Linked DNA regions of Oreochromis niloticus. The protein of the gene in region 2 purifies or fractionates together with the protein of the main gene of each other region. This does not show direct contact. Links are inferred from orthologs where the notes say so. Each region holds a gene or a part of one and is shown on either strand. Other genes may lie near its edges.

The links.
Region 1: the proteins of rab31 (region 2) and gdi1 purify together in Homo sapiens (co-immunoprecipitation; 3 studies listed by BioGRID and IntAct, counting the BioPlex papers as one, with this or other methods). This does not show direct contact. The link is inferred for Oreochromis niloticus from reciprocal best matches to the Homo sapiens genes RAB31 and GDI1.

Annotation. Positions count from the first base shown.
Region 1 is NC_031984.2:7,298,295-7,314,382, forward strand, and holds the start of gdi1 (rab GDP dissociation inhibitor alpha), read right to left. Parts: upstream 8,425-16,088; 5' UTR 8,132-8,424; coding exon 8,087-8,131; intron 7,113-8,086; coding exon 7,005-7,112; intron 6,827-7,004; coding exon 6,727-6,826; intron 5,957-6,726; coding exon 5,822-5,956; intron 5,737-5,821; coding exon 5,538-5,736; intron 5,358-5,537; coding exon 5,226-5,357; intron 5,124-5,225; coding exon 5,024-5,123; intron 4,879-5,023; coding exon 4,707-4,878; intron 4,055-4,706; coding exon 3,910-4,054; intron 3,778-3,909; coding exon 3,723-3,777; intron 2,739-3,722; coding exon 2,586-2,738; 3' UTR 1-2,585. Other genes in the region: V-type proton ATPase subunit S1, read left to right, coding at 9,994-10,112, 11,406-11,526, 12,364-12,438, 12,534-12,727, 12,824-12,861, 12,999-13,084, 13,183-13,391, 13,549-13,584 and 2 more. UniProt on the Homo sapiens protein: Regulates the GDP/GTP exchange reaction of most Rab proteins by inhibiting the dissociation of GDP from them, and the subsequent binding of GTP to them. Promotes the dissociation of GDP-bound Rab proteins from the membrane and inhibits their activation.
Region 2 is NC_031982.2:24,681,647-24,697,624, forward strand, and holds the start of rab31 (ras-related protein Rab-31), read right to left. Parts: upstream 6,770-15,978; 5' UTR 6,667-6,769; coding exon 6,631-6,666; exon of another isoform or gene 6,569-6,630; intron 6,395-6,568; exon of another isoform or gene 4,368-6,394; intron 4,358-4,367; coding exon 4,278-4,357; intron 3,188-4,277; coding exon 3,106-3,187; intron 1,423-3,105; coding exon 1,351-1,422; intron 1,036-1,350; coding exon 929-1,035; intron 1-928. Other genes in the region: ralbp1 (ralA-binding protein 1), read right to left, coding at 10,372-10,674, 10,852-10,972, 11,850-11,971, 12,052-12,162, 12,447-12,578, 13,382-13,543, 14,047-14,396, 14,484-14,915. UniProt on the Homo sapiens protein: The small GTPases Rab are key regulators of intracellular membrane trafficking, from the formation of transport vesicles to their fusion with membranes.

The DNA.
Region 1 (16,088 bases), on a different chromosome or scaffold from region 2:
ATAGTTTAATTCATTTTATTTGTTACACAAGACATTAGGCATTGTTCACATACTAGTGATCAAACAAGGACAGTAAGTTTTCTACTACTCAGTCTATTTCTTTTGTCAATTTCAAGGGATATTTGTCAATAGTGGTTTTCAAAGGCCATACTAAACAGTACAACCACACGAGGCATTTGTTTTCAATAAATAAAAAAAGAGGATAGTATCTGATGCTGAGGAAGGGTGGGTGGGGGGCTTCAGATATATCTATGTTCAAGGAGTAAACAGTATTCCAGTTATTACCAGATAATGTGTTTCCAGGATGAAGAGCACACACAATGTTGAATGACGCACAGTGTGAACACACAGCTGTATCGATTTTGACTCCCGATCTATGACTGACTGCTGCTGTTGTCCCTCCATCAAAACCTGTTTCTTAGGAATGCTAATAATCATTAAATCATGATGCAACACTGGAATGATCACTAAATTAGGTAAACATAACACATGACACAGCAAATAAACAAACAAAAGATATCGGTGTGCATAACGTTTCAAATCCATTTTATCATCAGAACGTAAACTATTAGCATAGCATATTCAGCATTTGACGTAAACCCTTCCACGATACGTCAGCGAAATTCAAATAAATAGAGCTCAAAGATAAGACACGTCAACACCCCAGACGCGATAACTGCCAAGGGGTTGGTCGCGGTGGATAAAGTGAAATGGAACCGCTTCAGTTTTCAGTAAAGTTAAATGGATCGTGTTTGTTTTGATCCATAACGAGCCAAGCCACAGATCAATCTGACTGTGAGTGTGCACTGCAGAGATATGAGGAACTGTCTCAGGTGTACAATAACACCTCTGACTTGGTAGGAAGCACCATCCTCTCTATAGTGTTTAGCCAGCTCTGCAGAGCAACTACACCACCAAACTTTTAATGTCAGCAAGCTTTGCCAATAACAGAATCACCAGTTTTGGCACAAGACTGGCCTCCCACTACATGTTAGTAAAAACAAAGCAGTCGATGTTTTGAATGGGTCCAAACATTTGAATTGGACCCAAAATTAAGGCTACAACCAAATAAAAGCATCTTGGTTCACTCTCATGGGGCGGCACTTGGAACTGTGGTTTCATACTTATGCTATGCTACAGTCTTTTGAAAATTTCTTGCTTTTCCTTCTATGTCACACTACAGTTTTTTTCAGAGGATTTAATCCCAAGGGTAATGACTTATCTCAATGACAAACACAAGGGTTGAAACAACCAAGACACAATCTGGTGCTTCCACTGAGAGCCGAAATTTCAGTCTTCAATCTCTTCCCCCGCAAGTGAAACTTCGCCAAAACAACAATCTCCTCACATACATTCTTATCCTCACGGCACATTTCCTTGCATCCCGACATGTTCTTCACCATTTCAAAACCTTCCAGAGTTCTTTACAGAAACCCTCACCTAACACAAGACAAATCCTCACCATGCCTTTTTGCCCCGACATTCCCTTTTTTTTTGTAAATGTTCAACTTGAAGACCACGGTTTCATCCTCTGCTCTGTAAACTTCATAACTTCAGCCAGTGAAATGTGCACCAAGCATATAGAAATAAAACTCTTCAATAATTTAAAATGTTAGAAAGTAAACTATTCAAATTCAAAATTGACATCACACAACAGAGATAAACAAAGAAACTTTTTTTTGTGTGTTTTTCTTTTTCAGGAGGGAGGGGTTGACAGTTAATAGCCACTGGTTAGCTTGCCTGCTAGCACAGGAAACACAACAGTATTGCAAAGTGAGCACTATCAGCTGACAGAACAGCCCATTTATATGTAACTTTTCATCACATTTTTTTGTTTTGTTTTTTTCTGTTTTTGCCCAACCAACAGATTTTGCCAAAAGGAGCGGCATCTATTGAAGAAACACAGGTAAAAGACCAAGTAAGAGAAAAGTGAAAGCAGGGTTGACAGGAGTGATGCGTGGAATGGTCCAGCCTTCATACCGCAGTGTCATTTGAATCTATGTACAATACTACTGTGTGTAAAAGACGCATGCACGTCCACTGGAGGTGACCCTTCCAGAGGATTCTACACTAAGCCGTTACACATCTCTCATGTCAGAGCTATCTGTTGAGACCTCTCGGTGCCACCAACCTTCCATCGGCCCAACCTCTGATATGAGGAGAAAGATGTTAGAGGAGGAATGAAATGCTCTGGAAATTCACCTCTAATGATAATAGTTAAGACATGATTATACTGTAAATTCTACAATGGAATGAAAAACCATATCAACCCTGCTTTTCAGTGACAGAGAAAGGGAATGTGAGCATTTGAAAAGCGTGTATGTGTGTGTCTGTGAGCATTTATGTGTCTGAATGCGTGCCGAGAGAGGGCGAGAGAGAGCGACGCGAGGAGGTGGAGGCAAACGGCTGAAGACAGGCTCAGAAGCTCAGACGCGCACCCTCTGCACCACTCTCACATTTTACCCTTTGTTTTTAAAGCACTGTTTAGGCAGCCCCAGCCCTCTACCAAAAGCCCCGTTGCCTCCACTTTTGCATCCACCCCCTTTCCCAGCCATGCCCTCTCTCAGAAGCCCCCCCTCTCTAGCTCACTGCTCATCCTCCCCAAACACATCGTTCTGTTTGCGTTTCATGTTCTCAAAGTCAAAGTCGCTCCCGGTCATGCGTTTGTAGATGTCCTTGATGTCGTTGCAAGTGGTCTCGAAGTGAGTGGTGGCATCGTAGGACCTTGATGCGAAGATCTGAGGAAAAAGTTAAATAACAAGACTTAGAATTTACAGCAGTGCTAGCAGGTCTGTGGGGCAGCGGTGCTCATTTCCACCTTCACATTTTTATTCAGAAATCCACAAAAGTAGCTTTGCATGATCCTTACTCTCAGACCAGGCCTCTGTGCACCTGCTCAGTTCATCTGTCTGAAACAAGCAGATCTATCTCCCATCTCCTAACAAATCTTTGTAAATGACTGAAAACAGAGGGTTTAAACACAACACAGCTCTGTGTCTGATATGAACATATTAGGGATATCCACTCACAGTGACATCATACAGAGGCAAGAAGAAAAAAAACTGAATCTGATTGTTTAGAGCAGTCTGATACTTGCAGCTAAAATTTCAAGCTGGCACCTAAACGTGCACACACAAGCTGGCTTCAAAAGTGAGTCAATCCACACAGCCTCCTATGCTACCATTTTAGAGCAGGAACAAATGTGGGCTTTATTTAAGGTCTTTTGGGCTATTTTTTAAAACAATTAACTTTCAAATATCTTGCATTTAACAGTATTAATAGCTCTATGCATTTGGTGAGTGAATTCTACCATTCTGTATGGAACTTAGCACTAAATAGCGGGTGTCTGCATCTATTTTATGTGCTCATACAGTTTATGGGTGCCTCTTGCTAACCAAACTTGTTAACTTGAAAGCAATGCAAACTCTCATCCATTTCTGGGTCCAAAATAACCAAGCAGGCCAGCTGATGCGCATAAAATTGAGGCTTCCAAAGAGGAGATCACAATCCAACGAGTGACATCATTAGATCATCACTACAACCATCTTCTATGCACAGTCTACGATAGAATGATAATTACCTATCTAGTACAACATTTCTTTGCAACAAAGTGGTCAACTGACCCTTCAACGCAGCCGTATTAGTTGTGACAGCGTATTAATTTGTTATCTTGTAAAATACAATATTTTTTCTGGATGTTGACCTTGGAAGAAGTGTCTCACCTGGCTCTCAGTACCGTCATCTGTGGGCTCATAAAGGTCGCTAATAGCCACAAACCTGTGGAAGAAAAAACGTGATTTATCCCAGTTATATGTACATGCATCATATTATGAGCATTTTTTTCCCCTGTGTGTAAAACTATAAACATGCATGAATTTGAATAAGCAAGAAGTAAAACGTGGGACTGACTTTTGGTCGATGGGCTCCAGCAGCTCCAGAGCTGGCTCAATTTCATTCTCAGGTTCACTGGTTTCCACTGTGGTGCTGACAATAGCGATGTACTTCCCCTGGGCTGCCACGTTGTGAGCGTAGGAGATCATGCAAACATAGATGTCTAAAGAACAGACAAAGGAGTTAACAGGAAGAGATGGTTAAATCAAGAGTTAACTTAAAGCTGGATTAATTGACGTTTTTGTCCACTTGGAGGCAGCAGGAACGAGCTGTATACACACTGACACGTTAGCTTCCCAGTTGAGTAAACAGTTGCCTGTTTATATAAGCATTCATCTGGAGTCATGTTTCTAGCCACCTGCTATGTGTCTAATATCTCATTTCCTTTAGCTTTGCTTTTGTTTCCATAACTTTTTAACAAAACAAATGTCAGGGTTGCTCCAGTATATGCACCAGTTACTTTTTAAAATTGTCTTTCTTCTTCTCCTTGTCAAGCAAGTTATGCATAGTGATTATTTTTCCTTCAGTCTTTTACTTTTTCCAACTTTACTGTTTAAATCAGGTGAATAACGGTGATAGTAAATCAAAAGAGTACAACTGAAACAATTAGCAGAAAGGTGCTAAAAGGCACCGTGGAGCTGAGGGCAGCTGCAGATCTCATCACTGCTAGTTTGTCACCATTTAACATGCAGTCTGATAATTATTGATTAGGGATGTTAAAAAATAAGCTAAATTTAGTTTGTAGTGGACTAAATTTGCAGCATTTCTTTGAAGACTAAAAAGCAGAAATATTGAATATAGAAAATATTGCTCACCTGAGTTGCGATTAACCTGATTCTGAGGAATGATGATCTGACAGGAGTTGGCATCATTAGTGTTTTTGATGGGATGGCTGAGGATGCAGATCACACGGATCACCTGACCCGCTTTACGGACACGGTCTGGGATGTAACTAGGGTCGCAAATGAGCTGCTTACAACGAGCCACCTGCAGTGGGAATGAGACAGTAATGATGTGAGTCTGCTGGATAAGTATATTTGGCTGAATAAACCTTAGGCATAACCACTTTAAAATTTGGAATGATACTGTCTAACTTGCGTAGCTGTGGACAATAAAGCAGAATCTGCTTTACCTCGCCCTCAGACTTTACTCCAATCACTTTTCCACCTTCCATCACGATCTCATCCACAGGTTTGTTCAGCATGTAGGTTCCTCCATAGATTGCACTCAACCTAAGATTACAAACGAGTATGATTCGTTAACTCGAGGAGTGGTTTTGATAGTTATGATAGACTCCATCATAAATATCATAAGTTTAATTTAAGTTAAAATACCTGGCAAAGCCCTGTGGCAGTTCTCCCAGACCATAGAGGGGATAGAGATAAGGGCTCTTGCCATACCGTGCCAGTGATTCACTGTAGAGTTTGATACGGTTGATCGTCTCCAAACAAGGAACATCAAGATAGCTGAAGTGGAGCAAAAACAATGTGAGAACTCCATTAATATCTATTTAAGCACATAATAACAATAAACCCTTGGTATTCCCTGATAAGAACATCTGTGACTCAAATTTGAAAGCATGCAACTGTGACATTAAGCAGAATTAAACCAATTAAACGGCTGATAATGGGTGATGTTGTTCTTACTCATCTGTCCTGTAGAGGGCCAGGGCGTGGCCAGTGAAGTCAATGACATCCTGACCGAGGTCAAACTTCTTGTAAACATCCCTCATCGTTGTGGTTTTGGGGTCCACGCCCTCGAAGGTCTTGGGGTCATTTTCATCAAAATTGGCCACAAAGACTAAAAACTTTCGAAACCTCCTCTTCTCAAACATTCCCATCAGATCTGTGTATTCAAACCGAGGTTTCAGCATTCTACTGTTGACGTCATTGCGTGCAAAACGTGATGAGACAACGTTCAGGTGACTTACTTGAAGCTAGTGCCTCAGTCTCAGTTGATGGCACCTTGTAGATCTTTCCTCCTTTGTAGACAAAGCTGCCTTCCACTACTTTAAAGTCCAGATACCGTGTCACTTCTGTGTATAGCAGCATCTTTACAAGCTGACCTGCAATCAGGGAGGCAAACACACGCAACATCTTACAGGGGATTTACGGTTCTGTGTTAAATCCACACTACATATACAACAAAACCACAAATCCCTTGAAAGCCTACGACGTAACATGCTGTAACATGACGTGCACCTCCCTGGAAATATAAGTATGTTGCATTAACACATCCCACAACTATTGTATTTGGCCCGTTTAGTCTGGTCGATTCCTCCTATGCATTTCCAGCTACTTTTTTACCCTAGTTTTTGAATGGATCACTAAGAGGACAACAACCACCGCCTCAATGTAAGAACTCAGAAATGTCATCAGATTCCTGGTGGGGGATTTTGAAAACTACTAGAATAAATATGAGGAAATGTACAAAGAAGTGGAAAAACTTTATGGACAAATATGTTGGCTTCTGAAAAAATATTGATTGGAACAAAGATTAAAGGCCAGGAGGGAAAAAAGTCCCAGCATTTTATTTGTTCCTGTCACGAATGGCACTGCTTATAAAACACCAGGACATGGTAAAACACCACCCACAAGCATTAATGCTGGCAAAGGTGTTGGCCACTTAAATAGGTTACATTGCAGGGTCTCCAGAGTCACCTAAACAAGCAGTTAGTGTGTGACCAACCTTGAAGAATTAAAGCATTCTGCAGTTACAATATTAAGCTCCAGAATTACCCTCTTGAATAGTCTGAAAAGCACTTTGGCTCTTGTGTACTTATCACGTGCTAACTTTTATGGCATTTTTTTATATAATTAGTAATAGGATCCTAACCGTTGGCCATGAGAAACTTGGGTATGAGGTCAACGTTCCAGTCACGTCCTCTGCCCATTGACTCAGGTGGGGTATCTGGCAGACTGAAGCGCTTGTACAGCTGTGGAAAAGGACAGGAAAGCCTGTGAGGCCCATCGAATCCGAGGCTTTACAGAGGATAAAGCAGTTAGCAAATGAAGACAGTAAAAGGGTGACAGATGGGACTGGAAGTAAAATGAGATATACTGAGAAACATTAAAAGTTTATTGATTGGTTTTATAGATCCCAGAAGTCCTTACCTCCTCCAGGGGTGTAATGGAAGAGCTCTCCCCACCGTAGTAGGGGTTTCGGTCCATGTGCAGAACCTTCTTGCCATTCACGGACATGATCCCGGACAGAATGCATTCCTGCACGAAAGCGGATTTATTTATCCAACACATCAATTACATCAATAACTCTTAGGTATAAAACAGCCCTATAATAAATCCTTCTCTTGTCAAGGCTCCAGTGTTTTAGAGATGTGTTGAATCATTCATTGAGGGGTGTAGTTTAAGTTGTCAAGATGAGAAATGTTTCTATTATTTGGTCTAGACCTTTTTACAGCATATCATTAGAGATAAGCACGCCGCTTAGTTTAGACACTGAATGTAAATGGAAGTAAGGAGGTTCTGACAGAAGGATGCGGGGGACAGTGGAAAAGATGTGCGCATGCGTGATTGTATCGCCTTAACAACGTAGCTACGACAATTATAATAATAATAACAATAATAGTAATAATGTTATTAAAAATGTATTACATAGAAAAGAAAAATCCTGTGGATATGCATCGTCGTATTTGATTCCATTTATAAAACTACCAGAATATCGGCTTCCGTGTATGCAAAGAGCTGGGAGAAAAGCACAGAAAGCGCATTTCTGCCGCAGAGGGTGTGATGAGTGAAAGGAAAGTGCGGCGATAGTGGCAGCAGTGAAAAGCTCTGTCATTTAATAAACCGGAGCTCAGGCCTGCGCCAACCTCAGGATGGAGGCCTGCCTATGCAAAGAGGACCATGACACACTGTGGGGTTACGCCTAAAAGATGCTGCTGGGTGTAACACAACACTGAGCCGGCTGTGACTCTGGGAAAGCAAACAACTCCCGGTCGAGCAACTGTTTGCTTCTTGTCGTGTACAAGCAGATCAGCTGGTGCGGTTTATTTCCAAAGCGCATCTCTTATGATAAATTTCTAATGTGACACGCACGCCGGGATGCAAGGGGCTTTCACTCCTTGGCTAGGATAGAGGATAGCGGGCCTCTGGTCTGGCTAAAACCATCATTTGGGAAGCTGACACAATCAATTCGGTGTGTTTCTGTGCAAACAAAACAAAGCTTGACTACTCACTGTGAGTCCGGTGCCCAAAACGATCACATCATATTCCTCATCCATGTTGTCTCACCGCCTCTCCCGTCTCGCCCTCTTTTTGCCTTGAGAAATGAAGGGTATTGGAAGCAAATAAAACCGGTGAGTCCACAAACCGGGTAACTGTCTCTTACTATCTCTGCACAGGTGCTTTAAATTGCTCTTCAAAGTTAAATATTATTTATTAATCATTGGGTATAAATGACCAATGGAATACACAGTCCACACTGTCACCGGCGAGGACGACCAAAGATGGCCCTGATCGTGGAGCAGTCTAGAACAATGTCACTGCGCGTCGGTAAATAGTGCGCATCCTCCTTCCCTATTTCCCATCCTGCCACACAATGGGCTCAAGCTGCAAAGCGGGAGACGCCGCTTTGAGCCGGCTTTGGCGATAGTTTATTGTGCACACGGGGTGTGCTGTTGTGGAGTTTGGCTTTTGTTTTTGGCCATTTTGAAACCACGGTGTGTGTGTTCTCTAATTTCTTATTCTATCTTTCCTTCCCAGTTGTAGGCGCAGCGTTGCGTGGATGAAGGCAGAGATATCCTTCCGCTGCCACAGCTGTGTGGATGGGAGTTGCTTTCACTGACTGAGCGCACGCACTCAGGCCCTTACAGCAGGGGTGTTTCCAGGCTTTTCTTTTCCTTTTTTTAACGGGGTGGTACAGGGGGTGTAGGGTGGGGGACCAGGGGTAAGGCAGGGGATCGTAATGTTTGATCGGATTTAAATATTATTAAAGAAAAGTGTCTTTTCTGCAGCCCTGTCTCCTAATAAAAACGGTGTTACACGAAAAGTAGTGCTGCAAAAGATTTGGATAACCTTTCTGCAAAGTGGCTAAACAAGCATTTAGGCCCCTTTTTAAGTAAATGTCACATTCCTATTTAAGTAGTCTGTTTTGGCTGTGAAATGCAACCTACAGTCCCAAGTAGCTAAAGTAAAAGTATTTGTTGTACAGAGTTAATTATGCAGTCATGATCACTGAATGATTCATATATTATCCTTTTTACATTACAGTGATGTTGAAGTTTATCTATGCCTTACATATGATAATATCATATAGGAGTTCAGTAGAAGGATAAGCATAATTATGCTTTTTGGGACAGGTAAAATGCTAAGTAACTACAGCATTACCATAACTGTTATTGGGCTACTGTTTATTTAATTATTAGTAATTATTAATCTCTGGCTGTCTTCCACAATGAATCTTTTATCCTGGCTTTCTCCCATCACCCCAACCCACTGCAGCACACGGCTGCCCCTCTCTGAGCCTGGTTCTGTTGGAGATTTCTTCCTGTTTAAAGGGAGTTTTTCCTTCCCATTGGCACCAAGCGTTTGCTAACAGGTGGTTGTTTGATTGTTGTTGTTTTTGTTTTTTGAGGAGTGGCTTTTCAATTAAAGAAATGTTAAGACTGATTTATTTATCTATTTATAATTTACTTAATTACTTATTTGTAATTGTTAGGACATGAAACAAAGAGGGAATTAAACAATTTAACTCTTAAATGCTTAAGAGTTTCTTAGACAATTAGGCTACGCCCTAAGTGAAAGTGAAAAAAAGAAAATATGGATATAAATGAAGTGATAATGGAAGACTCTTTGTTTAAACGCACACACACACGCACACCATACTTTAAAGAATCAATTGTTCTGCTAAGCAATGTGCTGATGGGCAGCTGATGGTACTGTAGCGGTTTCGCTCCTGGAAATGTTAAACTGTTCTCGCCGAGAGAAACTAAATAAGAGCAAAGCTGTAGTGTGTCATTGGTGTCAGCAGCTGCTGTGGGCTGTTCGGGCTGAATGAAAGAAGGAGGAAGTCATCTCTTCAGCACATGACTGTCAGGTGGTGTGGGTCACGTGAGCATAGAGTTCCGGAAAAGTCTAAACGAAAATGGCAGGTTCGAGGAGCTGCACTCGGTTAATGGGTGTTTGTATTCTACTTTTCGCCCCTTTTTTCGCCTTGGGGAGCGCCACGTCTCAAGTGCCTTTTCTTATGTGGTCCAGTGAACGGTAATATTTAGTTTTTCTTACTAATTCATTCAGCAGAACTCACTTTAACTACCGGCAAAGTTATCTTGTATGCTAACGCTGATGCTAACTCTTCTAGCTAAGTGAGTTTCTACTTTGCTGCCCAACCTTGCAAACACTAAGCGTTTAAAGTCTAGGAGCTAAATATCTAGAGGAGTATTTACACAGAAATTGTAGATATTTGCTTGTGCGTTTTGTTACAATAAAAAAATCCTAAAAGGTTATTGTGAAATCCAGCTCTTGTTCATAATGGCCATCCTTTTATTTCTTAATTTTGAAATAATCCACAGAAATAACGATTCTCCATGATTTAACCCCCTAAGGTGACGCTCTTTAGCACTAGTAGATATGTTAATGTTGTTGATCTTCATTTGCAAAAAAGCAAAGTAAGCTGTAAGATTAAAGATAAAGAAGAACTTTATTGTCATTAGTTATACAACGAAATTTGTTCACTTTTGTACATTAGCAGCAGACATGATATGGAGTAAAGGAGAGAGAGGGAGAGTTAGCTATTTTGTGTTGGGGGGAGCGGTGACACAGGCTACAGCTCTGGGGGATGCGGTTCTGATTGCCCTATATCTCTTCCGCGATGGGAGGGGTACAAAAAGTCTGTGACCTGGATGATGCAGCTAGCTCGCTTCTGTAAACGGCTAGCATAAACGGTGTCAAGATTCGGGAGTTTGGTTCCAATGATCCCCTGGGCAGTTTTGACGATCAGAGCTCGACGGTTTTCTGCAGTGCAGCTGAAGTACCACACTGTGATGCAGTGACAGAGGATGCTCTCTATTGTGCTCCTGTAAAAGTTTACTAAGAGCTGGGTTGGCACATTTGCTAAAACACAGTTTTGCAAGAGTTTTGCAAGTGTACTACACTTCTTTAGGATGGCGCACACAGGAATTTAAAATGTGGAAGTATACTACTGTATGAGGTGGTGTGTTAAGCAGGAGGACAAGGCAAGGTTGATATACCAAAATAGTTTTCTTTGATGATAGGATGAATATCTGATTCATTATTTTTGTTGTTGTTGTAGTTGTTGTTATTTAGACATTTATCATTTTTGTATAATGTTATGCCAGCTTTACAGGAAACACATTTTTGTTGGGGAGTATTCAGAGGTTTCATTTGATTGACTGATGGGTGGCTTTTCAAAATAAAATGAAGTACTGTGCTTCATAATAAAAGCCGCTGGGGTTTTTCAGCATTTTCAAAAAATGTGTCAATGCAACTGAACCACTTAATATCACAATTCATCTTTATTTTTTTCCTTATGTTTAGCTTGCCACCACTGGCCTCACCTGCAGCTGGTCATATAGCATCTTATGAGCAGCTGAGTGCCTACCTCACCTCTGCCTTCAGCTCTGGCTCCCACACTGTGCTGCTGTTCTTGCAGGACAAGGTCAGTACCCGACACATGAACTAGATTCTGGCTCTGTAATGGATATGTTTATGTCACTAAATTGTTCACCCTTCGTTGATTTGAAAGCTAGTCCTTTTATATGCAAGTTGTGTAAAATGGGGTAGTTGTACTGCATTCCCATGTGACACTGCAACAGTGTGGTGTGACAGTGAGTTTTGGCATTACTTCCCATTTCTCAGTTCCTCTGTGATACATCGGGTCTTTTTTGTGGTGGTGGTGAACACTCAGTGTTGTGACTGAGCCATATATTTATATTTTCCCATGTGATATTTTTAATCATTGTAATTGTCATGAAATTGTCATTGTAAATCCTCTATAACTTTTAAACAACTACACAAGCACAAACAAGATATTCCTTTAGATATAGCTTGCGTGAAAAGCGTGAATGCGACAATGATTTCATTCCAGTTTGTTGTTAATTGAGGTATTGTGGAGCCGCCAGTTCACTCACATTTTGGCACACTAGCATACTGTCATGCATACAGACAACAAGTCACTCAAACAGACATTAAGATTTGAAATGTAGTTTTTCCTAGTATTACTGAAACAAAGAAAATGGAAGAAGTAGCAGATAATAATTGTCCAAATTAATGTAATTTGTTTATACAGTCTGTATTTTTTAAGTATGTTAAATGCAAACTGAGCCATTAAAAAAGAATTCCTTTAAAATAATGTCTGATTATGAATGGCATTAAGTCAATTTAGCTGCTAAAATAAATTAATTGCTCGTGGGTTAATGGGACTGATAAATGTTTCAGTTGTTTAAGTCTTCCTGAATTCAAGAAACAAATATTTTTTTTCCCTTTTTGTATTTAGTTAAGCAAAGATGACTTCACAGTCTTTGGTGGAGTATTTGGGAACAAGGAGGATAGTGCTTTTAAAAACATTGAGGTATGTTTTTATAACACATATGTTAGTCCAAAATTAAGATAGTTTTTCCCTAGACTAACAGAGACTAATAATTCTCCCCACTTGATCCTTTTCAGGATGCAATGCAGTCTTCTACCTCAAAAGTGACACTGCCTGCCTTGGAGTGGTCTGGTTCCTTTAACATGGCAGCTCTGCTGCAGGAGAAGCTCGGTGTTTCGCCTGTGCTCGTCGATGCAGACTCTCTCTCACATCTGAGTATCAAAACATCTGTCAGCAACCTCCTGCTCATCAATCTTCCTTATTGTAGCAGGTGAGATTTTTCAAAATAATTCAAAATTATATTGAATAATCAGTTATCTGTTTTTATTTAATACTTAAAGTGTATTATTTTTAAATTGTTTTGTAGCTTACAGAAGTCATGCAAGGAAGTCCTGCATGAGAATGGTATGTTTTTAAGTGCTGAGGATTAAAAACATTTATAATTGTATATGACGTTTACAATTACAAACATGTATAATTGTAATCAGCATTATGTTATATTTTGATTTGTGTATAATTTGAATGCATTTTGCTGTCAACAGATGAAATTATTGGAAAAGTTCTGAGTTCAATGAAAGCAAAAAACATCCCATACACTGCAATATACACAGGATTCCAGCCATCACGAGTATGTTTTTAAAATTAGTCAAAATGTGCCACATTATAACACATTCTCAATGTTTGGGTATTTTTTTGAGAATGAACAACATTTTGATAACTTTGCAGATGATTTCAGAAACCCCAATTTCTGATCAGTCAGTGGGTCGGTCCTTGCTACAAGCAGTTGAACCTGAAGTTAAGCCTCCCATCATGTTTAATGTATCTGGTGGTCCCTGCATAATGCTGTGGGCTCAAAAATCTCACTGTCAAACTGGGTCCGAGCTCACCATGGACCGACCTTGCTCAGCAAACACCTACCTTGGGTGGATCACTGTGTAATGGCAGTACCTCACGGTAAAGTGGCCTTTCATTATTTCCCAAAGCAATATCCAGCCTGTGATGAGTTTACGTTTTTTTGTTTTTGTTTTTTTTGTTATTTTGTTATTTAAAGAGAAATAACCAGTTACATGTTTTATTTTTTTCTCATTTCAGGCTTGTGCTTACTTACCAATCAGGCTTTACATTAAGGTAAGGCAAAAAGTTGCTTATTAAAGATTCAAAATTGTACCTTTTCAATTAGTTAATAACGCTTACGTGTCCCCAGGATGTGCTTTTCAATTTTCAGCTCAATGTACCACAGCAATAGTATTCTTATGTATTTGTATTTACTGTTTAAATACCACGCTCTACACCCCTGCTTTTCCAAACCGGTTCTTTCAGTGTGTGTGGCTTTAAATCCAGCTGAGCCGCTGCTGCTTCTGCCCACACCCAGTTTAAAAAGAAGTTTGTGAGTGACAGTGTGTACTAATGGGTGCAGCACAGTGCTGGCATGAATGAGGCATTCTGTTGCTTTGCTTTCTCTAAGAGATCACTTTGTTCTACAATTGAAACACAAAATGACATTTACCTGACATTTAAACTCTTGGAGTCAACAGCTGGTCTTTTGGTGCGCTTTGTTTGTAGCTGATGCATTTTAGTTATTTTTATTTTTATTTTGCACACATCTTGGAAGCAGTGAGCAGTGAGGGTTGTCTCTATGGACATTTTAGCTCAACGACTATTTTCTGTCTAGTTTCAACATAGAAACTTACACAACTAGGAGGCCAACCCTTTGTGCAAGTATTAAGCAATTTGATATTTTTACAGCTTTCTTATCACACAACAGAGTTCATAAAATGATCATCTTGAGGCATTTTTATAAATAGGGTTGCTAAATTAATGTGGGTTTATGTTTAAGTGATAAATGGGATCTTCCTGTTTAATTCTTAGTAAGAACGCATTTCAAAAAATGAAGTATTTTGTTGAAATTCCTGAAATCACGGCTTCCATTTGAAGACAGTTTTTTTCAAAAACAAAATTTTCTTGTTTTCTAAAAAGGCAAAAATATCTTTCTCAATCTCTGCAGTAGAGATATTATTTCCATGTAATGTTTAATGTTTCAGACTTTTAAAAAAATATATTTTTAATATCACTGGTAGCATCAGTTTATTTTAAAATCCTTCACGGATATGTAATTAAGCAACTAGTTTAGAAAGCATAGTTAAACAGTGATTGTGCCTTTTACACTGATACGCATTCTGACCATCCTTCTCTTGCTGATCTCCAGTTTTTCAATGAGCAAGCGTTTCTATTCTGTCTCTGCACGAGAATGGTTCTCCCTGGATGCAGTTGAGCTGCAGTACTTTAACCTCAGTGCATCTTACATCGCAAGCCGTGACATCTATGCTCCTGCAGAGTATTCCTTTCATTGCCAGTCTGTCGCCAACTTCGGAGATGCCCTGCTCCGCACAAACACAACAGACACAAATTCATCTGAATGGAGGCTAAATTTTGTCGACTTCCAGGTACAAATATAGTGCCGCATTTGCTAATTTTAAAGTCAAACACCAATGCATGAAGAGGTGTGTTGATGAAGGGTTTCTTAAATAATTGTTTTCTTTTTTTATACAGATTCAGGGCTTTGGGTTGTCCGACAGCACAAACTTCTCCTATGCCAGTGACTGTGCAAGCTTCTTCACCCCAGCAATTTGGATGGGACTGGTGACTGTGCTCCTTACGCTGCTAATTTTAGTGTACGGTCTGCACATGATCATGCAGATTAACACCATGGATCGGTTCGATGACCCCAAAGGCCCATCAATTTCAGTGCCTCAGTCAGAGTAAATCACTCCCCCCCCCCCCCCCCAAAAAAAATGTAAGAACATCCACTCCTCAGTTTTTGAGTGCCCCTTTGTTGATCAAAGAAAGTATCCCTTTGCCTTCTAGCTTTTGTGTTTTTGGGTCTTTTTCTTTAATGTATGTTTCTTTTGAGTCCTTCCACAGTTATTTTGGCACATTCCACGTCATCTTGCCATATTTTACAGGTTCCAGAGTGTATTTTTTATGAGTATTATTTTAGAGCGTGTGCCAGATACAGCTGATATTTTTACTAAAATAATTTGCACACATATCATGGAATGACTTTCTTGCCAACACGAATGTGATCGCTGAATGCTGTAGGACCGTTTCAGACCTCAGTTCTTAATTTGTTTTGTTTTTTTTATTTCCCCGGCCTAACTGTAATTTAAAAACTACTGTTAATGAAAGAAGTGCCTGTGTGTATATACATGATCATTTGTGATGTGTTGTGTAGTGCTGCTGTTTTTCCCAATAACATACCTTGGATTCAGTTCTGTTGCCAGTCGTCATGGCTTAAATGGCAACACTGATATCCAATGTTTTCTTGGCAAGTAATTTATTTGTATAAAAGGACTTCATTTGCCTTTAAAGTTTACCCTTTGCTTCTGGGTTATCAGCTATTTTAATAACAGTGCCTTGTTTTCAGAAAATATTGACATGCATTTGCAATGAAGTGCAATATGCTTTGTTTAAGTGCAAATAAATGTATAAATTCCAAAGTAATTCTTAAGTTGTGGGCCCCTCAGTTGCAGTTGTTTTATTTAATTATTTTGAGGTCACATATAGGCTGAAAAGATCCCAACAAACTAAATGTGGGGTAAAGCGGATGTTTGTGTTCGACAGGATGGGCATCG
Region 2 (15,978 bases):
TAGTAACAAAATGTCTACAGATACAATTTAAAATTGTTTATTTGCTAAGTTGTCTGTAATGTGAAGGCAACACTTAAAAAGGGACTTTTTACACTTGAATGTTTCATAGGTCAGTGGCTCAACAAACAAAGTCAGTCCACTGAAAATAGTCAGGGACAAGAATGTATAAAATGTACAGAAATAAGGTGGCGACTCCACACCTTTGCACAGTATTGTGTGAGTTTACTGCACATATATTGTTGAAGGAAATGATACAATAAAAGAAGACTTATAATTGGAAGCACAGTGAATAATAACACAACTTCTTTATCACTAAACATAAAGAGAAAGCTCATGTTGCTGCTTTGGTACAAATAAGTCCTTTGAAGTGATGCCACAGACCTCTAATAACACAGGTGTCAAAATTATTTTAGTTCATAGGCCACATATACATTTATATTTTAGTTTGGTCTCAAGTCTGTCAGGCAATAAAACAAAAATAGAAGAAGTTTCTGACAACGACCACATTTTAACGAGCTATTCATTGATGAAGCGCCTCAGAGTTCAGTCTGCTGTCAGTACAAAGAACCCCAGTGGTTGTAAATTTAAGAAATGCACAGGTCCTTGGCTTAACCACCTTAACTTCATTGTGGTATGGCAGGACGTGGGTAGAGTCTTTGTAAATAATAAGGATGTAAATGACAATGATTCAGATCTCTGCCCGGATTAAACTAACAGTTGGCCTGTTTCACTCTTAAAGACTTGCAGCACAATGCTTCGCACTTCTTGTCTGCAGTTTTCTCACTGTGAAAATCCCTCAAGTTTGGACCCCTTTGAAGGTAAATTATTTCCATTGTCAGATTTGTTTGTTAACTCAGTCTAACAGTGTCTGTAGAAACTTTTCTTTTTAACATATTTGTAACAAAAGAGATGAAAAAAAGAAGCCCACCTGATGTCTCCTAAATCATTCTTATTCCCTGCTATAGCTACAACAATGTCTTCTGGACCGTGTTCCTTCAGCTCCTTCACCCATTTCTTCAGCGTCTGGAACGAATCCTGGACAACAAGAAGACATTGGGGTCAATCCTGGGATAGATTGTTTATGAGAATATGCCCAGCAGTTTTTTTCCAACTCCTGTCATATATTCATTGCTTTTTTTTTTTTCCAGACGAGTTTCCATTAACAAACCAGGAAAGAATGACATTTGTAGGTCATGAAACACAGCATCCCAGAGTGATGGAAAAGTAGCAAAATTCTTCACTTACAAATGTTCAGGACAGCTGTTACTGATGTTTTTCATTTTTACGAAGGAGCTAACAGCCATGACAGTTTAACCAGTTTCGCAATAGTAAACTTCCTGTTACACTTACCAGTTTAGTAATGTCATAGACAATGACAGCAGCAGCCGATCCTCTGTAGTACATAGGGGCTAACGAGTGAAACTAAAAAAAGACGACACATTTATATTAGTTAGCATGATTGATTTCATTTTTTTTGTATATCACACATAAATATGATCCAAAGTGCTCAGTCTATGATTAATAAGGGGGAAAAAAAAGCTTATAAAATACAGGCAGGGTACTATGCCCATACATTCTTACATGATGAGTTTATGGAAACAATTACTTCCTCAAGTCCCCAGGCCTTTTTAACTTTTAGCAGTTACCTTCACTTCGACTTGACAAACTGTGGTAGCTTGTAAAGAAATGCTGAATGTAAAAATCACCTCACTAAATGTCAGCCTACTGCAGATAAACGATGAGTGAACGCGCCGGCTAAAAATGTGCCAACACGTGCCAAACTTTGAGATCATTTATGAACAGTGAATCCAAAAAGGAATGTCGATTTAAGAATAAATATCACACTCAGGTTGTATTTTTTTTACATTTCCTATACCAATGTATGGCATCTCAAAATTGTTTCTATTTTGTACTGAAGTTAGTGTTGGTTTCTCTTATCAGTCAAAACCGGCACCATTCCCTTCAGCAACTATCAATGTGTATTATCATCAGTACAACTATATATCCATTGCCAGTGATAAGAGAAGATACACTTCATCTCAAAGTTGCAGCAGTTTAGTTAACTCAACAATCATACAAAAAAAGTCAATTGGTGGAAATCGTATGTATTTTAATAAAGTAGACAATGTGTGGCCAATTAAATAAGAAATTTAAAAACATTATCAGTGCCTTCAAATAACATATTCCAGTGGTTCTCAAACTGTGGTCATCACTTAAAGACCAGATATCCCACCTGCTGTGAATGTTTTAATGCAGTACATTTGTTATTATTATCACTTGTCACATCCTGTTTATGACAGTTAAAATAAATAACATTTATATAAGAAATAAAATTGTCTCATGTAAACTATATGGTATTAAATAGGCGTATACTATTTTACTTTAATGTCAGTCATAAGGGTGGTATTCTAAGAGCCATATATTTTATGAGGTGGTACTCATTTTGAAAAGTTTGAGAAACACTGACATATTCAGTTACATTTGGTATCTAAATGGTATCCCAAAAATGTCAGGTAGGGGAAGTGTGTGTTTAAACAAGCAGACTAAAAAGACTGCTTAAAATGGTGTTTGAATGATAATAAATGTAGAATAAAATATTATGGCATGTTTTTTAAATTATATTAATTACTCAGACGTCACAGGTTTAATCAGCAAGCCCACAGTCATGATGATAACACTACACTACAGTGACATCAATATTTCAAGAGTGTCCACAGTTGTATTGTTCACAGATGTTTACCATCAGCATCACTGATCACACAAGATCAGTCAGTCAAATGTATTAGGAGACACTCACAGCAGAAGTCCCAGCATAATTTTTTCACACATAAGCAGAAAATGCTCGCATTAGTTTTTTCCATGCAGTAAGCAGGTTTGGCAAGCTTCAGCTATACCCCATCTCCCTCTCTTAGCCATCAAATTAATCACCGTGATGTCTCATGACCTTTGAACTCTTGTGTCAAGCATCCTGTTTCATACCCTATAAATATCTACCTATCACGAGTACCAGCTTTCTGATGCAAAGTTTAATGGAAAATCAACATCACATGTGTTAACTTAAAGCTAACAGCGAGTCCATGAGGAGTTTCTGTTGCGTACACTCACCCGTTCCTGACCAGCTGTATCCCAGATCAGAAATTTGTGTAGCTCATTTCCACATGGCACTGTCTTGGTCAGGAATGACGCTCTGCGGATGATTTAAAGCATTTCACAACAGCTATTGTTTTTTAGGTCACTCTTTAAAAGCAAAGGGAAAAAAATCTGTGCATGTCAGCAGGAAAGTAAGAACACTGAAAACAAGTATGTTTGGTACAGCATGTTTGTTGCTATAGAGGCATGTAACAAAAAAAGGAAAAACATAGTCACAACAGTGGGTTTAAAGACTGGTATAGATGGCAAAAGCTGAAGTTACAGGTAATAATCAGTTTATTTTAGTGTTTATTGCACCAAGTACTAAAAAAAAAACTATCATTTTTATAAAATTCTATAATCTTTTTGTCTAAAAGTGTTACTCCAAAGTGGGTTTTTTCATGTCAGATGCAATGACCTAGTAAAATCAAGGTTTTTTTTCTCAGGCTTACAGAAGTTGTAATTTGTGCATTAGAGCTTGCAAACACTTAACTAAAATTTGTACTTTAAAAATGTAATTACATCACATATTTGTAATGAAATGAAAATGCCTTATGAGAATTATTGGAGTTGTGGGGCTGAAACAGGATGACTCCCAGGTGGGTTTGTCTTTATTTCAGTTGCTAAAGTTTGTTTAGAATAAGCTATGTGTTACCTGCTGAGGTTTTCCTTACAGGAAGGAGACCTTTTGGCTGAGCTGTGCATGTTCTACATTGTCTAGGAGGTTATGACTATCACCAATCAGCCCAATTTTAGTGTGGACTAAAGAAATACTAAATAGTAATAAAACGGCTGTTAAGTTTTAACAGTGTGGTAATAGTGGCTTGTGCAATTCCTTTAAAATCTATGTATTCAGTTAAGATAAAAGACCCAAGGGAAGGAAGGTACATTCAGTTTTATCTCTTGAGTAATCAGTTCTTCTATCATTAGGTTTAACTTCTGTAGTTTATAGACAGTTCATAGGATTATCAATCTACCCATTAGTACAAATGATGTGGCTTGAGCTTGCGCATAGTTTCATTCAGCCAGATTACTGATTAACTGGCTGAATCTCCCTGTACATTTCTGAACATCTTTACTTCAGCTTTGTTTCCAAACACAATTGATTAGTTTCCTGCTGCTGAAGCCTTCTCCTGGTTAACACTCACCCTATGGTTGGACTTATGTTGTGATCGAAATGATCCTGGACAAATCGGCAAACAATGCTGGATTTCCCAACTCCAGTGTCCTGCAAACAGAATCAGTCACAGGACATGCACACACAGAGGGCGGTCACTATTGAACCTAGTGGATTATGCAACCGTAGCAAATACAAAAGTATGCAACAGCAGTATTTAAGTCATTAAAATGATAACGTGAAATTATCCAGTAATACACGGTGTATGATTCTGTGTAACACGAACTTTCACTTTAGATATCTTAAATATATTTTGATGGTAAAACTTTTGTACTATAATCACTTTTACTTATATAAAGGGTCTTCACAATGACTACTTCACCTGCATTCTTACTAACGGCCAGCAGGGGGCAACTCTTGTGGTTGCAAAAGGTTCCAGTTGTAGTCAGCATCTTTCATGCTAACTCCAGGTGAGCGCAACAATCTCCTAGCCACCAAAGCAATAACAAAGAGGCTTTTGTGCACAGCATCCTCTTTGCGACTGATTTCACCTACTGTAGCAACAGCCAAGCGACCTCTGGGAACTACTCACCAACCACTCTGGGAATACACATTTTTCCTTGCAAACAGTGGCTATATCATATCCAACATCATCCGAGATAATACTGGTATACATTTTTTTACTGATATCACACACTCACTTCCTATTTACAGAAAGTATTGAATAAAATATTGACTCCATTTAGTAAGTTGACTTTTTCAGAATATACTAATTGCTCAACACAATCACAAGGCTTTAGCCAATGAGCATGTGGTTCACAGAGAGAGCCACTTCTTATTAGTGTTGCGCAATACTGCAGATTTTAAGTAAATACAGGGCCAGTATCGCTGTTACCAATACCAATACTTTTAACTTATAACATCAACTTATGTAGAGAAGAGTGGTGTGTCATGACTTATGAGATGAATCACTATCAATTTGCAAATTCTGAATACATTTTATTAACCACAGTAATTAGATAACACAACAAAACACACATTTCAGCTTTTTGTGTATCTTGAAACTGTGTTTTTTGGAGACCTGGAACGTAATGCCTTTTTGCCCCACTAGTACCTACTGGGCTCAGCATGGCTCAACTCAATTCGGTTTTTAGGTGGTACTCAGTTGTAACTGAAAACAGCTGAAACTGAGTAGAGTTGAGTCAAATTGGTACTAGTGGAAAAGAGGCACAAGTGTGCCTGTCTCAAAAAGACTTCTGTTGTTTAAATGGGTTATAGAGAATAAATAAAATAGACATAAAAGTCTGTTTTATCCTTTCCCCCCAAAAATCATTTAATACAGTTCAATGGACTACATAATGAATTTAGATCATAGAAACTAAGAATCAATTCTATCGCACTAGTATCGATACCAAAACCGGTGCTGGTATCGATACTACCAATATCTGGATAGACACCCCCCCCACCACCTCTCAATTGTCACCTCTGGTTCCAAAAGACCAACATGTCAACAGTAATAATGCTCAACTCATTGTAACTACATTAATCTTTGAGTCTGTCTAATTTAAACTCTCATGCAGTGCCACTTTTCATGTAACACATCTGATGTAGAAAATAGGACCCCCCACCCACCCACCGACTTCCTAGTCTCCAAATGTGGCACCCCATTTTTTTAATTGTATAAACACCCCTGTATGGTTTTATGTGACTTTAAATCTGCATAAAATCTGCTCCTCCCGCTTGTTATAAGCATGCAGAGGTGTAACAAAAGATGGGTAAGGTCAGCATATGGTTGGTTAGGCTGACTCAAAAAAATATTTTAGTGAGGATGTCAGGGCCCTGAGGAGGTATGCGGGGGCCTAAAAACCTTATGAGGCTCTGAAAAGTTCCCAGCTCCCGACTTCAACATCGTCGAAAAAGCGGCAGTTTGCGGTCCAAAGCGCTCTCGCCGTCCCTGTCACCGTTTATAAAGACAGACTGACGTGTTTCGCTAACGCAGCAAGAAATCTAACGGCTCGCTGGCTCCAATGATGACGTAATGGCTGATAAACTGTCAGAGCCGTTATAAAGTAAAGATTTAGCTTAATCTATTAAGAACTACAAAAAACATGCGAGAGGACATACTCAAAATGACTGCCGGCCGATGAGGTTGGTTTTAAGCCAACTACTAGCTACCAATATTAGTTAAATACCCAACTTATTTCATGAAGACGACAAAGAAGAGTTCTTTTAAATAAAATACCGGAACTGACAAAGTACCGACTCTACCATTAAGTTGTAAACGAGCAGCTGTTAACATCAACATGTTGTCGGCTTTTGCAGTTTCGCAGCAGACTAAAGGAATTTGCCCCAAAACGGATCAACAAAAAACATCAACCACTTACCCCTAAAAGGCAAACCTTGAGCTCCCTTATAGCCATGGTAAGTTTTGGAAAGTTTTTAAATCATCATTTGTCAGTGTACACTCAATGTATTTGTTTCTTCATGCTTGAAACTCTATTATTTTCCCCTCTTCTTGGATAAAATAGAAACCCAGCCCCTGATACAGACAGACATCTCCACTAAGCGGCTGACAAGGCGCATAAAATAAATTTACAACATCCGGGAGTGACTTTCAAAATAAAGGTATCTTACAGCCGTTTTGGCACAAATGATGCGAAAAGGTTGCAACAAACAACTTCGTTTGCAATTTTAACTCTGCCTGTCAGTTACATGTTTATATTTTGAAATAAGAGATTAAAGATTTTAGACATATTTTTACCCTGAAAAACAGTGTTCTTTAGTTAAGAATAGATAAAAGTGCATACAATGGTCTTTAGTTCAATGAAAGTATAACAGGACTGTGAAATGTCAGTCTGCTCTTAACATATTTTTGCAATTAACTAATTTAACCAAAGACAATGAAGACTGTGACAATGATGTTTTTATTTCAAAAATAAAAGACTAAAGTAGGATCAGCATCACACAGCCGGCTGTGCCCTGGCAGCCAAAAATGAGTGGGCTCCAGCCCAGTAATGGCTACCAGGTTTGGGTGGGTTTTTGGTATGTGGACTTGGGCCAGTTTGGACTGCGAATTGGCAGAATAAATGCACGCACACTGTATTAGGACTGAAAAACTGACCAAGGTTGGTAGTCTGACTTTTGACAAGATAAAGACCTGGTTCACTTTCAGCATCCAAACTACTACCATACTTGGGCCAAGTTATTTCTTATAAACGAACTTGATTTTGGCCATTAAGGTGCCAAACCTGGCCAATTTTACAAAATCACGAAACATTTAAGAAAGCTGGGGAGGGCACCAAGGAAAACTGACAGTAACCACAGAGCCACAAGCTATGCAGGTTTCTGTGGTATATGATAGAAATGACCACAAATAAAAGAAAATATAACAATTAAAACTGAATAAGCAACTTATAAGGCAATTCTCAGTCATTTACTTGTGATTTTATTGTTTTTCATAGAGGAATGACTGTGACACAGTAATTGTAAATGTTTCAAGAAATGTGTGGTTAAAAAAGAAAACGAACACCAGGTAAGATAACAGATAACTCATGAAGATTGACTATATCTGGCATTTAGATAGAATACTGTAGGTTTCCTTCACATGCTGAATACCAAACCAGTACCATGCAAACTGGGGCTACAATTTACATGCGCTCACCAGTAATTGATGATTAATGCAAAAACGTTCTGTTCTGGTGGTTTTTGATTTCTGCTGCAACATATGGATAGCAGGGTCAGTATCTGCCATAAACAGCATAAAAGCATGGATCCATCCCACCTTCTATCAACAATTTAAGCTGCTGCTGCTGCTGTTGTAATAATGAGGGGAATATTTTCTTGGCACACGCTGGGCGAAGTGAGAATCTTTGTAACCACAACCTAACCGAGTATTGTTGCTGACATGTTCATATCCTTATAGACATCCCTTTTTTTGTTCACTGTACTCAAATGTCCCCAAAAATCTCAAAAGTCACCAGATCTCTATTCCATAGAGCACCTTTCAGATGTGGTGGAACAGGAGACTCAGCCAACCAATCAACAGTAATTGTGTGATGCTGTCATTATCTTTATGGTTACACTTTTCCAGCACCTTGTTCAATCTGTGCCATGAAGATATAAGAATGAAGCCAAATCTAAAGGAACAAAAATGTTACAACCTTGTAATAACAAGTTGTACCTAATAAAATGCCCAGTGAAGGTATGTATAGCTCTATGGTTAGTATTAATTGTATATCTATAAAGCCAACATTCCCTGAAATGCAGTAGACTATGTAAATCTACTCTTTTATATTACAACCATTGCTTTCCTCCAAGAGAAAATGGTCATCATGTTATGTGAATTCAAGTCGAGCTTTAATTTTGAAAAGACAGTTCCTAACATCCGTTGTTCTCTTAGTTGTTTTAGTCCTACTTGATAAACCTAGTTTCCAAATCGGAAACCAGTTAAAGCCTTAACCAAAAAAAAACATATTTAAAAAAAAAGCTGGGTGGTTCCACTATCTCTTGAGTAATTTGTTTTCAGAGTCAAAGTCCACCTTTCTATTCTCTCAGAGATGCTCAGGTTTGTATTTAGGCAGATACTGTGTAATGGAAAAATATGGAATACATGTCCAGCCAGACATAGTTGAGTGAAAAGGTAAACTTCAGGAAAAGACACAGTGAGATAATTATTTTAGACTGACACTTTATTCTTCACAGCATTTCTGTCTGTAACAATCAGCTACAAAAGCTCAGAACAATATGAAAATAACCTCACGAGAAGCTTCTGAGCCTGTTCTAGCAGTTTCATGGAATCAGGAACTCCAGATGAGATTGCATGGATTTGCCTGTGACCAAAGCAGGGCAGTCACAGTAGCGTAACTCCATACAGGTTATTAATGGTAAAAAAAGAAAAGAAAACAGCAACAAGAAGACAAAACACGAAGAGCTGAAAATACAGTATGTTTGCAATTTTACAATAATATACAGAAAACGTAAGTCAGGACACATCTCTGCCTTAAATAGTATCGAACAATGACGTTACCTTGCAGCAGACACGGATCAGCTGTGAAATGAAAGGATTGAAGAAAACCTCCACACATGAAGATACAAAACAAAGCGAGCCTCCTGCGTGTCTCCACCCATATAGGAGGCAAAAAATAAATCATCAGCACAGACTTGTTACATCCTCATTAAACTGAACAAATATGATCTCCCGCTCTTCCTCATTAGTGCAGCGCAGGCAAAGGTAACTGAGACAATGACTGCACTACGGAGCAAAGTGTGGCCTCCAGCTGTTTGTCTGCATTTTGCAGCGATGAATACACATTTGTTATTTGGCTGTTCGTGTTTTCATCCACTGGTTAGTTGCGAGGTGCAACACTTCTCTTTATGAATCTGCTGTTCAAAAAAAGAAAAAGAACAAGACCCTCTACAATATATTTATTTGTATATTCATATATTACTAAAAAGCTGCAACTTAAATTTAATGTACTTCTTGAATAGTCATCTGTTTACTTCAGAATACTACTTAAATATATAATATATAGATAGACCGATCATAAATTCTTCATCATTCAAAAAACTTTTGTTATCAGTGGTTCTCTGGGGCATCCTCAAGTTATGGCACAGTGGTCTCTATCCAAAAGAAAAAATCAAATTTGCATCAAGTTAAGGGACGAATCTGAGCGACAGGGACTGATGACATGTGGTCTAGTGATCGCTTCCTGACTCGCTCAACAGTGAGAAATAATCTGCAATCTACCCTCTCTTACTCTCATTGCCTTCATTTCCCCTTCCTGCCCCTTCCTTCCTCCTTCATACAGGCTTGGCACTGCATATTTGAAAACATGGTCCCTGCTAGTCTCTTACAGTGGTAGTCAGTTGTCCGCTACACCAGCTAAACCTAGCATTTGTTTGTTTTTTCAGGGTGGTTTGTTTTTGCATGAGGATGTGAAAAAGAAGGTTAGGACACCAAAGACGATATAAAAGGTTTTTCCTTGTCTGCCACTTGGTGGACACGGTAACTAATGAGCTCTGCAATGTGAAATCTCCTGCAGGATAGCGAGCAACGCTACAGGACAACTGACCCACGGTAGAGACGAACACCAGCACAGACGACCACCAAAAGCATCACAGAGGTCTCACATGTTGGTGTCTCTCTTGTCTTTGCTTGGTGAAGGCTTTGATGGATCCTTAGCCGCCTTTCCGTTGGTTGTGGCAGCAGCTGCATCGGCGGTAGGAGCCACGGCAGCAACGGAGCGCTTGGTTTGCTCCTCGCCGCGGGCCTCCGGGCTCGGCTGCGTGGGTGGAGCCTGCTCGGCTGGCGGCTGGACGGTCAGCTCCTGCTGTAGCTTGTGGCTCTGCAGGAGGCGAAGCTGAACGCGGAGCTCCAAGATGGCCTCCTGCTCCTCGTGGATGGCCTGGTTCAGGTGAGTGTTTTTGTTCTTCAAGGCAACAAAGTACACATTCAGAATTAGATCCTGTAAAACTCCAGCCAATACTTTCATTATTTTATTACCAGAAACAAAAGCGTGCTGAGCTTTTGGTATATGAATAACCACAGTTTTGTCAAACACTGCAAAACCACCGCAACAGGTAGTGGAGGCTGGATGCTTTCTCACCTCTAGTTCCTCGTTTTGCTTCTGCAGATCTTCTAGTATCATCTGCAGCTCTTCCTCATCCTCGCTTTCACTTTCGCTGTCTGATGAATACTCCTCTGTCTCACTGCGACCCTGCTGCCGACTGCGAAGGAACACAACGCTGGCTTACTGCTAGGATCTAATGTCGTGTTTTAGTGTTAAATTGGTTTCATGGTCCTGTAAACTTGTCCGACTGAGTACACTGTCTTAAATCAACTTAAAGCATGACTTAAAGGGACTGCCGAATGTTGACTGGTTCACAGGTGAGCTGGAATAGAGCAGGGAGGGATACTGGAGTTCACTGGGAATGGGAGAACCGCAGAGAAAAACTTCAAAGATCAAAATACAGAGTATTAAAAGCACAGGCAGTGGCTGCAGTGGACACTTTTCATTGCTTTTAACACTCGGTTTCACTTCAGCTCTTTGTGTGTTATCACTTTGCTTTCCTCTGTGACTGGCTGATGGACCGACAACAGCACAAGTAAGAGTGGCCCATAGACCCATGTGGCCATACACCTGTTGGGCCGCTTACTTGTATAATGCCTCTATCTGGCAACAGAGCTCACTCCAGGCAGACGGACCATCCCTGGACTGGAGTGGACAGCGAATGCACCATTTCTGCTCGACCATAAAACCAGAGGGAAAATATCACGTTTATCTCTCAAAAAGGCTCAAATGTCATCAGGGGTATTGCTGCTAATGAGGAGACATTCACAGGGGTTCAAACAATGCAATGGTACCAGTGTTGTCCTGAAAACAGCCCAATATGGTCCTTCACACACAGATCAAAGGACACAACAAGACATCCACTGAGGGATCTGAAATCAGCAGTCACACTGAAAATGATCTAAAGATCCACAAGAAAATGTACCCGACTGGGAGACTGACCACTTTTACATCAGGTATAGATTATAAATTTTACACTTCCAACACTGGAACTCTTTGTTCACACCTCATATTTAACCACTGTCCTCTTTTACCTCTGTATGTCTGCAATCTCTGCCCGCAGCCTCTCGATTTCCTCCTTCTCAGTAGCAATCTGTCTACGCAGCACCTGCTCAAGAGAGATCAGCTCCTCCTGCTCCGTCAGGATCTCATTCTCCTGATTATCGAGAGAACGAGAAGACATTTAAAGGTTTTCTTGGCAAGCTGCTGATCGATGTGTTTGTATGAATTACTCACCTGTGCTAAAAGGAGGTTGATGACTTCCTCTTCATTCTCAGTCATTTCCTCCTTAGAAACGTCTTCCTTTGACAGGCTTGCTATCTCCTGGGCTATTTTACTTTCACACTCCTAAAGCCCCACAGAGAGCAGACACATACAGCATAGTTGGTCAATTCATCTGCATTTGCCTTTTTGTTGTTACTGTGTAGGGCCACATTAGAGTTTATTAAGGACTCCCAGCTCAATTTAATACAGACTAAAGAATCAATCCTGCTGCTGTTTCCTACCTTAATGAAGGTTATAATTTTTATACATCTCAGAAGAGGTGGAAATTCAAACCCTCACTGGTATTACTGGGTGGATGAACAGCTATTGTATCCAGAGAAACATAAATACTGATATAGACAGATTACCTGACGTTTGGCCTCCCTCAGTTTCCGTTTCAGGGCGGTCAGGATTCTCTGAACCTCCCAGAGCCGCTCCTCTTTGGACAAGTCCTTCACCCCTGCCTGCAGGTCCCGGTGCAGGCAGTTCAGGAGGAACTCCTACACACAAATACCTTCATAAATATTGGCTGAAATTTACTTGATGACAACAATCAGCTCAAGACAAGTAGAGGAGCCAAACACATTTAATAAAGTAGTCAATATGAGAACAAAAAAGTCAAAGTATTAAGTAGCAAAATAAACCATATAATCTTTTTAAAAAGGGCGGTCTGAGATTCATGCATAACCACTTATGAATGACAGAATTAAAGTTAGTTGGATAGTTAACATGATTTGAGCGTTATAGGACAAAAAAAAATCTACAATAACTTTTCCGTATATTCTAAGTTAGGTGATCTAGGAGGGATTGAGATGTGTGCGCCTCCTCTGGGATGTTTTATTGTTTTGGAAATCCAGGCCACGAAGGAACATTTTGTAAGGTTAAAGAAACAGCTTCACCCGAGAGACTGGGGTTCAAATCGACTAAACCATCTGAAGCTGACGTGTTTTCTATTTTCTTTTATATACAGGTGACAGAAACTAACTAATATTCTGAATCCCACTGAGTCCTGGCACACTGAGAACAAACCCAAGATAAAGATGCGTACTGCTGACAAGACACTTTAATATAAATAGAAAAGGCCTGCTTTGCTGAATTAGAGCTGCATTACTATGTACTATGTTGTAACATTTTAAAATCTGCTTCAAGGGAAAATCATCATCGGCTTATATTAAAAAAATCATTTCCTTTTGCAGTAGATATTAAGATATGAAGCAAAAAAAGAAACTTTTTTTTTTTTAACAAACTCATTTGTTCAAACACTAAAATAGACAGTCATTAGTTGCCACAGGACCGAACCCACCTGCCGTCTGATCTCTTCTTTGATGCTCTCCTGGGTCTCAGGCAGAGCCGGCATCGTCGCCATGTTGGACCAGCGGAGTGGCCGCACCACTGGCTTCAAGACTACATCCCCAAACAGCTCCTTCACGTGGGTGAAGAAAATGTAAAGGACACGATTCCCAATCTGGAAAGGAGGCACACGGATCACCAGAGGGAAACGAGCACAAAGCTGAATTGTATCTGCACCAGTTCCTCCACAATACAAATTCCTGCATGTTTATTTAGCCTGATTAAACTGGCCCTGGACTCCGCTCATTAATTGGGAGAAGTGTTTATTTAACAGTGTTGTGGCGGCTGCTGCTGCTGGTTCAGAATAAGTGGAGCAGCAACAGAGATGTCCCCTATGGGAATAAATTAGCTTCACTAAACTGGGCCAGGGTTTCAGAGATGAACTGACTCTTTGATCCAATAAAAATTCACTGGTTTGTTGCTAGGGGGAGGGTTGGGGTTTTTTTGGGCTATATCTGAGCCTGAGCCAAAGCTCCACATTGTTATTTGATGTTTAGTTTGCCTGTTGCTGGAAAATTGATGTTCTCTGCACCAGCTCATGATCTTCTTGCATATTTCTTCCCTTTCCCATGTAACGGTGCATTTGCATTTTCACTGATTGATCTCCTTCCCGCTGACCTGTATGGTGGGGTTAAGTACGATGGAGATATTCTGAATATTCATCTTCGTCTCTGCCTCCCTGGCAATGACGTGGTCCATGTGCGTGACGAGCCAGGAGAGGAGCAGTCGGCTCTCCGGCGGAACTTCGGTCAGCAGCCTCTGGAACTCCGTCACCTTTTCGGCCTCAACCTGCCGACCACAAGCATCCTCGAACCGCTGGGCCAAGTCTCGACCAAGTATGTTTTCGGGCAGCTCGCGGAGGTACTGCTTCAGCAGGCTGGCAACCGTGTGAGGGTCATACTCCTCCAGGCATGGGCACTCCTCTCGGTCATACGCAGCTTTTAGTTCATCTACTTTGGACTTCATACCTGAAAGGAAAAAAGAGCCAATGTGAGTAATCAGAGATGTTTTAGTTTGTTTAAAAAAAAATATGGTAAAATCAAAATGTTTGATACCTGAAACCCGGTAGATGCCCTCACACTTCATCCCATAATTTTCAATGTAGTCCACACACTCTCTAAAGATTGCTGGTAGCTGGATGCCATCATACAGAGCTGTCCTCTTGATAGCTTCAGCCAGCGGGGCTCCAAAGATGGGCCTGAAGGTGGGGGTCTCCACTGGGACCGGTTCTGCCTCTGTGGTTGGTTTCTTCTTCTTCTTCTTCTCCTTCCACTGTTTCACCACATCTGCAGCTGTCAGGTCCTTTGACTTCTTATCCTTGGCTTTGTCCTCTTTAGGACCCTTCTCTTTCACCTTAAAATCCTTTTCTTTCTTCTTGGAGAAGCTCGGCTTCTTGAACACGTGGATTCCTTTGGAGCGCTTCATTTTGGACGGGCTCTCTGCTTCATCTGCCGAGCTGTCCTCCTGGAAGGCGGCGTATCCTTCCGCTGTGAAAGTAAATAAAGAGTAGAAGAGGCAGAAACCAGGTTAGATCTAAAGGGAGTAGCACCTCTATTTTCTAATCTCCGTCCTATAACCGAACTATGATAGCAGTGAAACAGAAACAGGAAGAGAGACGGGTGAGAGAGAGAAGATAGCAGAGGAGGGGGAGAACGAGGACTAGGAAAAGAGGTCAGCCACTGATTTAGCATAGCTCCCACTGCACCTTACAACGCTCCTCTCCAGAACAGCTCACTTTAAGCTTTTTTTAAAGTGATAGCGAGGGGCCCCTTGTCACTTTCAACCTCCTAAACTCTACGCTGGGTTTCCCCAAGAATGGGCTCTGCGTATCACACCGCTGCCTGAGACACACCTTCGCTGGGTTCAGTGGGTGTGTGCTGAATCTGTCCATCTCTTCCTCTCTCCCACCATATCCTGGTGTAGGAGCTAAATCCAGGCATGGAAAAGTCATGACACAAAGTGGACGACGGTGAAAAACATCCCCAGCAGAGGAACATTTCTCACCACTGCAGCCATCAGGATGGAAACGTGGGAGGAGCTCGCCTCATTAGTACTGATGTGATCTTTAGCTCCCTCGGTAGCTCCCAGTTGTTAAAATACAAGGTTTGAAATATTCTACATTTTTCTCCTTGTTGACGAATAACACAGCCATGTGCCGCCCTCCAAAACGTATATTAAAAAAAAAGTTGGAATGTTTTTGAAAATGTAATCTAATCATTGGCTCAATTAAACTAGATTATAGGGTTTGTAGTCATTTCTATTATGTAAAACCTGTGCTGCTGAGCCTGTGAGAACAACATCTGACAGCTTTTTATTACCAGACCTCATTTCCTGGTTGTTTGGAAATGGTTGCAAAGCTATAAAATCATGCTTATTTCATAAACCTGCCCAAGTCTGATTATAAATGTGTGTCCTGTTGTGTTCTACTGTTGTCAGTATTTTCTGTTTATCTCACTGTTTTAACCTCTTGGCCTCAATTCAATTTTATTTATATGTCACCAATCACCTCAAGGCACTTTATAATGTAAGGCAGACCCCGCCCCCACAATA